Linked DNA regions of Lytechinus pictus. The protein of the gene in region 1 purifies or fractionates together with the protein of each later gene. This does not show direct contact. Links are inferred from orthologs where the notes say so. Each region holds a gene or a part of one and is shown on either strand. Other genes may lie near its edges.

Region 1 (7,583 bases):
TCGTATCATTGCCAACTGTGCCCTTGTCATGCGAGGACCCGTTTTATGTGTGAGCAAGTGCCCCTTGCCTTCTCTTATCAGTGCCCCTTTTTACCCAATAAAAGAGCCCCTCACGAATGTGTTCTCTGCATGCCCCTATAATCTGAGAAGGACCTTTTTTATGTGTTAATGAGTGCCCCTTTGAAACAAGAAAACAATATCCTCTTTACTGCTTATAATGAAGGAAAAAACTTGTAAGAATAATCCAATACGTGCCTTCAAGTTTTAAGAGTCAAGTGAGTGGGTAGATAAGCAGTGGCGTACAGATGGGGGCTTGAGGGGCTTATGCCCCCCCCCCCCCCAAAAAAAAAAAAAAAAAAAAAAAAATCACGACCAAGAAAATACAAAAGAGAAAAGCAAGAAAAGGAAAGAGAGAAGGGTGATATATAATATTTTTTTCTGAATGTTACGTCAAAATATCACAAAATTGGATTTTCGTTATAAAATGTCGATAAAATTTCCTCGCTCGCTTCGCTCGCTCGCAACTTATCAATTTTACGTGATATGATCTCTAGCCCTGTCAAAAAATTTCGCTCATTACCCCGCGTTAGATATTAAGTCTTTTTTCTTTGTTTTAAGAATATATATAAACATATATAAACATGATTAAGTGAGGCAACTCAATCTTTAGGCTACATGTATTAATAATATTGGTGAGTCAAACGTACCTCAATCATTGTAAAATTGTAATAGTAATCAATAATAATATAATGCCATCAAAAATAATCAATAGCAGTCCGAGTATGATGACCCAGACAGTGGATAGTAGGACCTAATTTCCGGAAACATATACGTAAAATTGCACATACATTATGGTCAGTTTTAAAAAAGAAAAAATGAAAATAAAAGAGATTTTAAACAAAATTCTTCCTCCTCCTCTTTCTCTTTAATTCTTCTTTCTTGCATGTCGTGTGTTTGAATTTCCTCCCCCAAAATAAAGCTTGGCATGAAAAGTTATTGACAAAAATAAAGCTTAATTCTTTTTCGATAACTATAGCCTCGGTCAGGGAAAATATGGCGCCCGAACCATTTTCTTTAAAAAAAATATAAAAAAAAGTGGAGAATGATAAAACATCAGAGCGCTTTTGACAAAAAAAAGAGAGAAAACAGATAAATCTAGACTTAATAATTTGATTTTACGGCATTAGTATTCGTGTTGGGTGAAGTCGTGAGGTAAATTTGAATAGAAAAGGCTAGGCATTTTAATGCATTGCGGGGGCTAGCTCATTGACTTGCTATACTCGCACTTTAAAGGGATGGTCCGGGCTGAAAATATTTATATTTATATCTAAATAAATAGAGTAAAATTCACAGAGCAAAATGCTGAATTAAAAAAAAAATCAAAATCGGATAACAAATAATGAAGTTATTGAATTTTAAAGTTTATCAATATTTTGTAAAAACAGTAATATGCACATCGTCATGAATATTCATTAGATGGGCTGATGATGTCACATCGCCACTTCCCTTTTTCTTATGTTTTTACATAAAATCATAATTGTTTCATTTTTTTCATACATGTGTTAATGATGTGTCTCATTATGATGAAATATAATGTTTGGTCTAATCGATTTCAAAACAATAATGAAATACTCAATAAACTGCACAAGCGTGCAGCGTATATCATATCCGGTTGCTCTTGGATGACTCCATCAGCAGTGGCGTAACTACGGGGGGCATCGGGGGCACGTGCCCCCCCAATCGGCTGGCCAAAAAAAGGGGGGAGGAGAAAAAAGAGGGAGAAAGGGAGAGAAACGTAGTGGGAAAGAAGAAATTATTGTTAATTTATAATGTTATATTACATTATAATTATATTATGTTATATTACATTAAAAAAATAATAACTTTATGAAAAATAATTTGCCCAGGGCCTATATGTCTTCATTGTTCCTGGTGCTCGCATTATCTTTTTTACGGGATTTATAATCCTGTTGTACTAAAACCTCCTGTTTTCAAGTCAATATATATACCAAATATATTTCCTCGCACTTCGAATTATTATTATTTTATATGTAGTGACATATGCTTCTTTTTCATGACTACTTAAAGTGATACCCCCATTCTGATTCATTTGCATGACACTGAGTTGTGCATATCACTTTTTTGTGAAAAATAAGCAAAACTTTAAACTGCCATAACTTTCTTATTTCATATCCGAGTTTGAGGAAATTGTCAGCATTATGCTATAAAGTTAGATTTTTCTCTATATATTCAAATCAACATTTTTATGGGGTGGACTTGACCTTTAACAAGTCCCTTTTCAAGTCAGTAGTGCCTTTACATTGAAAAAAATTAGCTCACGCTTCTCGCTCGAGTTTGTGAAACATATATATAGGCAAAACTAGTGTGTTGCCCCCACGGGCGTAAATCCCGGGGGATGGGGGATACATCCCCCCACTTTTCGGAGAGGGGGGGGGGGGGGGTGGCATGTCCAATCATCCCCCCTTTCAAGATAGAAAAAAACAATTTTTTAAATCATCAAATGGTTAATACTACTGTTAATGTGTTGATTTATCTTCAAATGCTAACAAAGTGCTTAAATTGGCCTACTTTTGCATTAAAAAATTGCGAAGATTTCTCGCACGGTCGCGTTCAATCGATTCTTACAAGACTTTGGTCGTGACAAATCACTATAGCAAAGGTTATATCCACTGCATCATGGGAGTATAGTTATAATTAGTCCATTTATGAATATGTGATTCCAATTACTTTTAAATATGATTATAACTTATCATAACGAATCCAAATATCCTCTCGTGAATATGGGGGGGGGGGGTCATCTGGTATCTTTGTGGAAGCGGGGGATTTTGTTAAAAAATATTTGGCTTACCGTATTCTTCAAGTTAAGCGTACGATGAGTCACTGAAAACACTGATCAGATCAATGCCGTTAATGAAACACTATAGAACTATTTGCTCAAAATATCAAATGTTGCATCATCTCCCAATATAAGATTATTCGAAATCTTTCCATTTCATATACAATTTCATTGTGATATACCCTTTTTAAAGTTTATATATTGTATCCTGTGATGGCCTATGATCATTTTATAATAATATGACACCCTTATTCCCGATAATCATGATCTTATTTTTGTTATCTTTCTCATCTCACTTTAAACAATGAGCAAATGAGTTTTCATAGAACAAAACTTGACTATTTAATCCCTATTTTCTCTTTTTATATTTCTTGTTCAAAAGTTTATATTATTGATAATACCTTTGTCATCATCATTTTAAACGACTGAAGCAATTTTTTAACGCTCGATCGCTAACTACGCTCATCGTTGCAATTTCTCCCATAATTACACTCCTTGAAATACGACTTGGTCATCATTCTGTCTTCCAAATATGGAAAATTTGCTAAGTGCTTCGCTCGCTCGCATTTGGATACTTCTGTAATCCATTCGTCACAACGAATCCATAACAATATAGCCATCGAAACAAAAAAGACACCGTGATAGTCCTTCAAGTGAAAAATGGTATTATCCACGCAGTTATATACCCCCTGTACATATAACCATGATGTGCTAATTATTACATACCACTTAAGGTTTTGGGGGGCATACTTCTTTCTTCCACCTATTGAAAATTTGCTCGCTCGCTATGCTCACTCTAAGTGCAATAAGCAGTCCTCAACAGGTACTTTTTCGATCAGTTCAAAACGTACATAAAAAATTTCTGCTCGCGCTTTGCGCTCGCATTATTAATGTAAGTAAGAGCACCAATTACTCATGATTTGCAAATGAAGAATAGAGTGTCTCGTTTTTAGGTCTAAATCTAGAAATTTTCCGCTCTCATCGATTGTTATACCTATTCTATTTAAGTTACAAAAAGTGCTCAGAATTTCCATTCTTAAGGTAAAAATGTCAAAAATACTAAGTTAGATTCTCATGCATGAAAAGGTGATTTTCTTTTCTCGCTCGCTCTTCTTCTTCTTCTCTATAAGTACAGGCCACCGTCTGGCGTATTGTACTGTGCTCGGGACTTATATACCGGGCTTATATAGCAACATTTTGCCGCACGCGCCATGATGTGCCCCCTCTTTTTTGTACTTATCACACATTGAGCTTCGCCCTAATGCTCGGGCACAACCATCAAAATCCATTTCATGACCGGGAAATTTTGGGCTCTTGGTCCCGCCTGGCCATCACCGACCCCTGTTACGCCCCTGCCTATAGGCATACAATAGAACTTTTACTGTGCCAGCTTCATAATACTTAACTGGAATGATTTGCCACTCATAACAATAAAGTTTCGATCAATTACAATTTTGGGGAAAGCATTAAAACCCATCCCTTTAATATGACTGTCAAGATAAAGGTCATAATTATGGGAAAATCACAGTGTAAAATAATAATTTCTAAATTAAAAGACCCAGTTCTAAAATAGGTCATGGTAACCCCTTTTGATATGTCTGACTGCGCGCCGAGGCGTATTGCACTACAATGATAGTAAAAAGTGCGCTATGAAATATAGTTCTTATTCATATCGATCGTTCTGTATCTTAAAGATACAGTGAATCTCAGTTCAAACGAAATTAATTTCAATCGATGATTGATAGCTAATAAATATATATGCAAGACATTTAATCCCTTAAAAAAGATTTTTAATCTTTCCTTTTACACTTGCGTCCACTATCAACTTTACAAAATTAGTGCGCCAGCTGCCGTAGTAACTTTCTCACGCAGTGGAACCTGAAAATCAGGACATTTTTCGATATTGTACCTCGAATTTGTATCCTATTGGAAATATTATTGTTTGATTGTAAACAGTATCACCTGACCAATCGGAAAATTATCGATATGAGGGACTGATTTTGTTGATTTCTTCGGAATTCTACCTTCTTTCGAAAGATTTTAGCCGCGTACGTGCGCTAGTTTCACACCGGTATCATAATGAATAGTAGGCGATCTACCCGTGACCGCGACCGAGTCGTGAAAACGAACAGTAGTAACACCGGCAGGTCAGTAAAATGTTGAAAATTGTGATTATGTTGTGATTTGATGATGAAATAGTTTAACAGTGGTGATCTTTGTGAATTATGCAAGGAGGTGAAAACTAGTAATTTGTATGTTTTTATCTGGAACTAGTGTTTTATCATGGCCGATTGTTTGTAAACAGACGGGTGGTTGTGGCATCTCGGACTCATTTTTTTGCTATTGAAAAGTGTGTGCATGCTACATCATGTAGACTCTCTGTATCGATGGCGGCGGTATATTGCTAACTCTCTCTCTCTCTTAGGTGATCCCTCCACTGTTTTGGAGATTCTAAGATACGATTAGAACAAATCCCAGTCCGGTAAATTACAGATTCAGCATCAAGTTGGAGCGGTAGTCATGAATTTTATGTAGAAAAAAGAGGGATTTAAGGAGCAGCATGTATGATATATGGTGGTCCACAAAAAAGGCACTAGTCTGTGCACCTAAAAACAATTTGATTTTGAGTTAAGATATAACAAGGCTCCATATTAACTTTTTTTTGGTGGTGGCCCATTCGGGCCACCAAAACCTTCATATAATTTTTTTGGTGGCCCGAAAAATATATAGAAAAACATTAAAAATGAAAAAAACAAGTTTCTGATATATTAATTCTGTACTGTAGCCACAACTTGCACAAGTACTAACTACAACAACTACAAGTACAACTCACAAGTAACACTACTGTACAGTAGAGAGGTGCACGACCAATATGGGAGACTCTCCAATAGGGGAGACAATCTCCCATATTGGTGACTTGCTTTGCAAAAGGACAAAAGAAACGACACCAACAAGAGCATAATTTTTTCCACCCCAAATTTTTGTCTCGCTGAGGTCAGCTCAGAAGCCCATTTGTTTTGTGTGCGGATGACAACAAAAATCCTTAAAAGTTAAAACAAAAGTACAAAGTAGATGGTGAATTTTCAAAGTAGACGGTGAATTTTCAAAGTAGACGGTGAAAAGGGGAGATTTTTCATGAGGAATCTGCTTATCATATTTTTATTTGCTGCCAAGTTAATCCTTTTGCAGCAAATGTAAACAAAGGAAATTGGTCTCCCAAACTGGAGACCGTCTCGGAAATAGGATACCCAAATTCTTTACAAAAGTCTCTGATATTGGAGACAACCTCCCACATGGGAGACAGTCTCCCATATTGGCCGTGCGCCTCTACTGACTAAGTTACTTTCACTTTGTATGGTAGGGGGCCCTAAAGCTATGCACCACTCATATCATCGCGCATGCAGTTTTTTCTACAGAGGCTGCAGTAAATCTCTAAATGTAGAGAAAACCCACAACTGTTTGGAATTTTTGAGTTATATTTGCTTTAATTTCATATTATTCTATAATAATATGAATATATTTTAGAAATTGAGACACAGGAAATACTATTTTTGTGTATGACAAATCGAGTGCCTAGCTTTAGGACCCCTTCGACATTGGGCGGCGAAATCAAGAGGTGTTCGGAAAACACGGCGGGATTTTCATATTAGTGAGTTTTGTGATATATTCTTCTTGGTTAATGATCTTTGGAATGTTAACCACAATTAAGTGAAAAATAATTTGTTCAAATATTAAAATTGGCATAGTTTTTATTGTTTGTAAACAAAGTGCGTAGCTTTAGGTCCCCCCATCATACATCTTGTATGTAAACCTTGTTTGCTGTTATTTTACTTTGCAAATTGATTTGTGGTAAAATATAAATTGTTCTATCATTGTAAATATGAAATGATTGAAAGAGAATTGAAAGAATTGTATTGTTCCCAGGTTGTGTGGACTTTTTTTTAATCTCCTTAAACACACGCACTCATAATGGTAAAGTAAATAAATAATGCATAACAAACTGGGATAGATGTACATCAAGGCTCCATATTAACTTTTTTTGGTGGTGGCCTGTTCGGGCCACCAAAACCTTCAAATAATTTTTTTTGGTGGCCCGATGTTAAAGTTTGGTGGCCCGAAAAATATAAAGAAAAACATTAATTAAAAATGAATAAAACAAACTTTTGAAATATTAATTCTGCAGCCACTACCACTAAGTTACTTTCAATTTGTACATCTTGTATGTAAATCTTGTTTGCTGTTATTTTACTTTGCTAATTGATTTGTGGTAATATATAAATCGTTCTATCATTGTAAATATGAAATGATTGAAAGAGAATAAAAGAAATGTATTGTTCCCAGGTTGTGTGGACTTAAAAAAAAATCTCTGTATAGACACACACTCATAATGGTAAAGTAAATAAATAGTGCATAGCAAACTCAGATAGATGTACAAAACAATGATTTTTCCTTTCTTCCTTTTTGAATCCTAAAACCGAGATTATGTAGGCCCCAAATCCAGTTTATTTTCTCTTTTCCAGCATATTATAGCAGGAGAAAATCACAGAAAAATATGCTGCAAAAATTAAAATAATGCATAAAAGGGGGAAACAAACAAAAACAATTTTTAGAATAGTATATTAAAAGAAAACAAAAATAATAAAATAAATAAGTGAAATAAAAAACAAAGAACAGGAAAAAAAGGAAAGACAAAATTTAGAGAAAAAAAAGAAAATGAATAAAACAA
Region 2 (7,735 bases), on another chromosome or scaffold:
GCAGAAAGAGTTGTGTCTAAACGCAAGTCAAAAAATAAATCGTAAGTCCCAAATGCGCGCTGTTGATTGGTTGAAAATCAAGTTGCGAATGATTTTTAGAGTTGCAATTGATTGCAACTCTTTCTGCAATGGGCCCCAGAAAGCTATTATATATTGTTTTGCTCGAGCGTTCTGATCATTCATGCTATTTTACTCCGATGGGTCTGTTTTTAAGACTATTTTACGAGAGCGGTATAAACACAAAAAAGGAGAAAATACACTTTTTTATTGGAACTGACTGATTTTACAATACCACCTTTCCACTCATTCACATCATTACAATCTGCACCAATTAAGTTGGTATGGTTTTAATTCGTCATATTCCAACCGCATTTACTTATTTTATTAGTAGTGGATGAAGTAATTTTGCACGTGAGAGTATTTTTTTCCGACATGAAATAATCTTGCAGCACTATTCAAATGTTTATCACGTATAGTATTATGATCCCATAGAGATATCAAGCCGTATTGAAGAAATATGTTAATGCCCTACATTAATTATGTTCATGGTAAGATTTTTGCTGTATTTAGGCAATTTATGCTCTTTTAGAAATTAAGATTTTCTTACGTGGAAGAGACGAGTTTTAATCGCAAAAATTGTTCAAGAGTGTTCCTGCCCGCAGCAAGAAGTCAGTCCTTTTGACAAGAAAGGAGGTTATGAACATGGCGTTATCCCTCATAGCCTCCAGCACTGCCTCCCTCTTGCGGTGGATTTTAGTTAATCTCTTCGTCATTATTTTTGTTCAGTAGCAGACCGCGGAGGGAGGGTGGGGAGAGAGGGGGAATTACGGGTAAGGCTATTAAAAACCGCAAAATATTAAAGAACTATGGCAGCGGTTCAATTTCGGTGTATAGCTCTATCCAATAACGAAAACCACAAAACCTATTCTTTTGTTGTTGATCGCTTTTATCGGCTTTATTTGGCTAGTGAGGAATTTCAAATCCTACTTTATGTTTTATTTTTATTCATGTTAAATCCTACTTTATTAAAGGAGAATGAAACCCTTGAAACCAGCTGAATCCATATCAAAGAGAAAAATCAAAGAAACATATTGTTGAAAGTTTGCGGAAGATTGAATGAATAATAAGAAAGTTATGAGCATTCGAATATTGAGATCACTAGTGCCATGTAGATCCTCCCAACGGCAATGCGACCAAGATCTGTGATATCACACACGTACAACTCCCTCATTACTTTAGTACTTATTTCACTTATATTCTCACTTTTATAGAGTCTATCACAAGGTGAGGTGTTCTCTTTATGAGATGACAAGTACAGAGGTTTCACAACATTATATCATTGATGAATCGTTTGTCATATGATTAGAATGAGCAAAAAGAGATGTTTTGGGGTATATTTTCAGTGTCCAAATGGGAGAGTTGTACGTGTGTGACATCACAAATCTTGGTCGCATTGTCAATGGGAGGATCTCCATAGCATTAGTGATCTCGACATTCAAATGCTCATAACTATTTTATTGCTAGTCCTATTTTACTCAAAGTTTTGTTGATCTTATTCTTTGATTTTTCTGCTTTCACAAAAGCTAACTTGCTCCAAGAGTTTCATTCTCCTTTAATGTATGTATATTAACGTTTTCCTTTAAAAACAACTTTCTTCTCTCGTTGGGAAGGCGTTCTACGCCTTTATCCACCTCCTACCTCTCTCTCTCTCTTTACCCCCCTCCCCCGCTCCAATAGTCTCCCACATCCCACTCTCTCTTGCACAACTCTCTTCGTCCTTCCCATTCCCTCCTATATAATCTCTTATTTATGCATATAAACATTGAAATATTGAATTAAACTTGATTGACTGTGATCTTCTAACCAAAATTATTAACTCGATATTATTTACAACAGAAATCGTCGACTCGGTCCGACTGGAAAAGAATTTCCATCACCCCCCCCCCCCCCGCACATGCCCTTTGACCTACTGTGTTTATGGCCCGATATTCCTTAACAAAAAGGGACAGGGTCACTCATGGGGTGAAAGTTGAATAGTGAACACGTCACAAACAAAAGCATCTCACTGGGAAACGTCGAGAGTCACTCCGCTCATGACGGAAAACGGGACAACAGTTGCTCGCTCGCGCGCGACAACAATATTTTTGTTCAGGTCGTGCGGACTGTTTGGTAATAATAACGCATCAGGTCGATCTTTTAAAAGGTGTTAATATTGATTTTGCTTATTCATGTTAATTTGTACCGTTTTTATAAGGATGCATGAGGGAATGTTTAAAGGTGTGGAAATTCATTTAATGAATCCAGGAAGTTTTTTGGTAGGGGTTTTGTTTTATTAATATAGTTGGGGGCATAAATATATAAACGTCCTGAAGGTGAAGTCCAGTTCTTCTCTTTTATATAACACTTCTTTAATTGTTTCGTGACATTTTGTCCCCTTTTCTTTCCTTTATATTCACTTTTCCTCTTATTTCTCTTGTTAAAAAACTAAAGAGTAGCCTCTCCCTGTAAGCACCGACCCTGAACACTAGTACTCATAAAGTATTATTTAGATGCGGGGAATATAATGATACCTCATTTTAGAACAAGTTTGTGAAAAAGTTGATTATTTTGTGCAAGATTACACATTCGTAAGTTCGCTAAATAATTACAATAATAAGTTTTCTTCTTATTCGTCGCGCTTGGGCGTCTGATCAGCAGTAAGCATAATGGAGACTGAATAAGTCATAAAAAGAATCATGAGAATCGCCTAAGAATTCCGCCATCCCGTTAAAGTGATAACAATATTTTAGCAGGTTAATTGGAGGCTGTTTACTTTTCAAAATGGTCATTATATTCAACTTTCATCTCTGGTGAATGTAAATATTGGTTAACTCCAAATAAAACTGAACAATATTTTAAACCATTATGTATATTTTCCGGAAAAATAACTTTGTTATTATGTTTGTATATCTTTTTTCTGCTAAAGACGATAGCAATATGGTTGCCCGATGAATTGAACCGGTCCAATTTTCCCTACAGTGTTCTGTAAATAGCCTAAATGTGGCCATTTTCTCGGTAAATTAAAAATTCCATTGTCAAAACGTCATAAACCACCTGCAAAATTATTGGAAGTAATCGGGGACAACCGCCCAATATTTTCATGGTTAGTGGAAAGATACACACCAAATGGCAAGTTAGGGTTCTCATCGACGTCAAAATATTTGCTCCAAAAATTGCCCCGGTTTGATGAAGAATAAAAAGCGAGGCATAACTTGCGGGCATTGTGAGTGAAAACATTCGGGGCGTGAGGGGCATTCATTCTCCCTTGATTGTGGTGCAAGAGTTTCCGATTCGAGAAATAATAGTCATAATTTTATTCTCGTTTAAAATGGTGGGGTTTGTTCATAATTTTGCAAAGGAAACACCCCCAGGACAGGTGCCTATGTAGGACAGGTTCACACTGCAAGGACAGTCATATAGTATATCAAAGCAATTATTGATTATCAAGGTTCACATGGTTCAATACAAAACCGGTCCTTTGCTATAATTTAGCTCTATTAAAAATAGTTTTGAGCAACACTGAAATACATCTATAATGAATCATTGCTGATGTGAATGAATGTCAAATGGCGTTTCTCATAATTATGTTCTAAGCTTCATATATACATGTAGTTATATCATTTCTACAGTTCATTTAACAAATCTGTCGAAAAAATGTTTGTTTGCTTTCGTCTCCGAACCAGATAAAAAAAATACAAGAAAGGACATAATGTGAGAAAAAAAAAAACATAACAAGCGGAGGATAGCCAACATAGAGCAACGTCAATAAAAATACCCTGTTCTCATCGGGGTCCTGTTGCAGACAGAGTTGCGTTGAAACAAAAGCCCAAAAATCATTCGCAGGTCCCAAATGCGCGCTGTTGATTGGTTGAAAATCAAGTTGCGCATGATTTTTAGAGTTGCAATTGGTTGCAACTCTTTCTGATCTTTCTGATCATTCACTGAATGAAAAATGGTGGTGATTAATCATAAAGCAGGGTAGGATAAGGAGGGGGGGGGGCGCTTTGTAAAAATACAATTTTACATGTTCTGTTAAATATCCTCATCCTTCTGTGTGTTTTTTTTTTTTTTTTGTCACCATTTTTTATTTGATTATTTTTTGTATTGTAGTGCATCTCTTTCTTGTAGGGCAACTTCCATTGCGGTTATCAGATTTCTTAGATCCGATCGAGTCTTTTTTTTTTGGAATGAGCACATTTTGTTGTTTGTTTGTCATGATTTCTCTCAAGAAATCTATCCTCATCTAATCATAATAATATATCATCATCATCATCATCGCCATCATCATCATCGCTATCACCACTACCATCACCACCATCATTATCATCATCATCATCATCATCATCATCGTTATTATCATCCTCCATCTCATCATCGGCATCATCGCTATCACAACCACCACCAACACCATCATCATCATCATCGCCATCATCATCATCGCTATCACCACCACCATCACCACCATGATCATCATCCATCATCAACATCATCGTCCACTTTCATCATCGATATTGTCATCCTCCTCCTCATCATTATCGCTATCACCACCACCACCATCATCATCATCATCATTATCAATGCAGTACGTACACCTATGAAAACGAGTTTAAGCCGTTCATTCACGACGCCATCTCCCGTCCATAATAGGAATACAATAACAATAATATTGCGCATGCGCAGATTGTACATCGCAGAACATGATTATTTTCAACATGGCAGCCGGGTCCGCTGGGGAACCGGGACCTCCACCGTGCAAAGTCGGCGACATCGTTTCCTGTAAGACATGTCTGGAGGCTAAAATTGAAGGAGAAGTGTTGGCTTATGATTCCAATAGTCGACTACTTGCCATAAGTATCCTTTTGAATGCAAAATATGTTGTTGAAGAGACATGAGCATGATGAGTAGAGAAAGCCATGGCATGATGACCGATGACCACGGTCCACAGCACAGGCACAGCCAACCACCACTCACTCGTGTGACTGTGAATGTGAACTGACTATACTCTAAGGATGGGGGATCGGGTGTCCGGACACTTTATATTTTTGAAGCCTTCTTTTTTGTCTTAAGATTACACTAAAAATATGAATTCAATAGTTGTAATCATCTTCTATTTTGTTCTCTATAATATTTTCTAAAATTTTGTACTAAAAATTGATGAAACTTCGCTTGTAAATTTTTCCAAATGACTTTCTAAAATTGATCGTCGGGACACACAACCTGTCCGGACACACAACAAGTGGGTATACTGAGTGAGCTAGCCTATGGCTATGGGAGTATGGCTGAGCGCGCCAGCGCTACACTACACGAGTGAGAGTGGCTGTAGGATGTTCGATGTGGTCGTGGCTATGTCATGGTGGCATGATTGATGGTGATGTATGGTGGTAAGGCGCTAATGCAGTTTCGCATCGGCCGATTACCAGCATACCTCATCACCAATACTTGTTCCCAAATGTCATGACAAGTCAGTCACATTTCGAGGTCAAGACAATATACCTAGCCAGGCGGCTTCTAGAGAGTAAAAATCATTTACTAACGTAAGGTCACTCTCATACGAAGCCAGGGCTTACGTCATATACTTTTGCGTGTAATCGGCCGGTGGGAAACTGCATTAGCGCTTGTCTGCGCATATCTGCGTGATTTCTAGTAAAAGAAGACACGAGACTACCACAAAGTAAACTTTCATAGCCAATACTTATCTGAGCTGACTCAAAATGGTGGAAATATAATGAATTTCGAGCATTTCATGTGATGACCTCAAAATGCAGCCCTTTCATCAAAATCCCTGAATCGTGTCTAACGTGAATGGGTCACATGCGTAGCCAGGAGGAGGCTCCTCGAGAGTAAAAATCATTCAACTAACGTGTGCTTACTCTCCTCGGAGCCAGGGGTTGTGCCCCATTTATAGGCGTACATCGCGGTCAATGATGCAATTTTCGCCCTCGAGATTTCTACTTTCCCTGTTAAAAGATCTAGCCCTAAATCGTGTAAATGGGCTAGAACTTCATTTCCAACATTTATAGAATATACCGGTATATAGAGAATATTTACATGTACACACTACACTCTAATATTCATGACTTGATCTCATTGGACATAGCCTAGCTAGTGAACAGCTAGAGCTCTATCTTTGATGTTGATGTCGGTCAAACTTGCTCTAACTCGGTCTTTGACACAGTTTTGATGTTGACTGAAATTAGCAATCAAAATTAATGCTTGCACAGCTGGTAGAGTTTTTAAGAAATAGGGGATAAAATTTTACTGATATTTAGCTCCAATATTGCGAATGTGAACTATATTTTTTTCTGCAAAATTTGTTTTAAAGAATTGTAAAACGTGCAGAAGGAGCAATGTGAAAGACTCTGTATGCACCTTTACGAGTGGTTGCTCAGTAGAACCAGAAGTATATAACTTTTCGGACATCCGACCGTTACGAATCAAATTGTGGCAGGACTCCTCCATTGCCCATTCTTTAAAGGTCAAATCCACCCCAGAAAAGAGTTGATTTAAATAAATAGAGAAAAATCAAACATGAATAACGCTGAAAACTTCATCAAAATCGGATGTAAAATAAGAAAGTTATGACATTTTAAAGTTTCGCTTATTTTTCACAATACGGTTCTATGCTCAACTCAGTGATATGCAAATGAGAGAGTCGATGATGTCACTCACTCACTATTTCTTTTGTTTTTTAATGTTTGAATTATACAATATTTCGATTTTCACGAATTTGACAATTAGGACCCCCTTGCTTGAACCACAAAATGTTAAAATAATGGAATTCCACGTGTTCAGGGAGGAATGAAACTTTGTTCACATGACAATGACGAGAAAATCAAAATATTTCATATAATAAAATACAAAAGAAATAGTGAGTGGGTCATGTCATCGGTCCCCTCATTTGCATACCGAACAGTATGTGCATATAACTGTTTTGAGAAAATAGGCAAAACTTTAAAATGTTGTAACTTTCTTATTTTACATCCGATTTTGAAGAAATATTCAGTGTTATGCTTGTTTTATTTTCCTCTTTCTATTCCAATCAGCTTTTTGTTGGGGTGGACTTGTCCTTTAAAATCTAATCAAGCTTTAGAATATTTTTGTATCTTCATCTTCCTTAATGACAAACTTCAACTTCAGAAAAACCGCCCACCTCCAGCGAAAAGAAGAGCTTGTGCGATATTTGCATTGTGAACCTCAATCTAGTGAGCGATTTCCAGATCAAGCATGAGAATGCTGAACCACCCAGAGAACCGCCCTCTCTTGATGCCAACAAGGTAATGATGCTGTATTGATTGATAACTTGTGGGCTGTTTCTTGATTCATGGATGTCCACTCATTAATTTCTGTTAAGAGAGCCTAAATGGCTAGGCCTACACTTGATTCAATATTACTAATAATTACTAGTAATCCTTTTACATGGTGTTGAGTACATTGGAATCGTATATCTTTGTAATATAAGATACAGATTTAATTTTACCCCTTACATGATCAGATTTTTGCTTACCCACCCATGCTTTCTCCACTCCCTGGGTAGCATTTCAGCGAGAATGCCCAAACTCAAGTGCAAGATGCACTACATTTGCTTGTATAACTTAATTGGTACCTGTAACTGGCAAAGTGTACATTTGTTGATTGAAGCCTTGACAGAGGAGTTGGTGCTGAGTTGGGATAAGAAGACTCGACCACCTGATTTCTA

Evidence for each region. Proteins that work in one complex are often made in the same cells at the same time.
Region 2: the proteins of ataxin-2-like (region 1) and protein LSM12 homolog B-like purify together in Homo sapiens (affinity purification with mass spectrometry; 4 studies listed by BioGRID and IntAct, with this or other methods). This does not show direct contact. The link is inferred for Lytechinus pictus from reciprocal best matches to the Homo sapiens genes ATXN2 and LSM12.

Annotation. Positions count from the first base shown.
Region 1 is NC_087246.1:36,084,857-36,092,439, reverse strand, and holds the start of ataxin-2-like, read left to right. Parts: upstream 1-4,478; 5' UTR 4,479-4,936; coding exon 4,937-5,004; intron 5,005-7,583. UniProt on the Homo sapiens protein: Involved in EGFR trafficking, acting as negative regulator of endocytic EGFR internalization at the plasma membrane.
Region 2 is NC_087257.1:24,888,660-24,896,394, forward strand, and holds the start of protein LSM12 homolog B-like, read left to right. Parts: upstream 1-4,705; 5' UTR 4,706-4,736; coding exon 4,737-4,890; intron 4,891-7,176; coding exon 7,177-7,313; intron 7,314-7,735. UniProt on the Homo sapiens protein: Nicotinic acid adenine dinucleotide phosphate (NAADP) binding protein. Confers NAADP sensitivity to the two pore channel complex (TPCs) by acting as TPC accessory protein necessary for NAADP-evoked Ca(2+) release.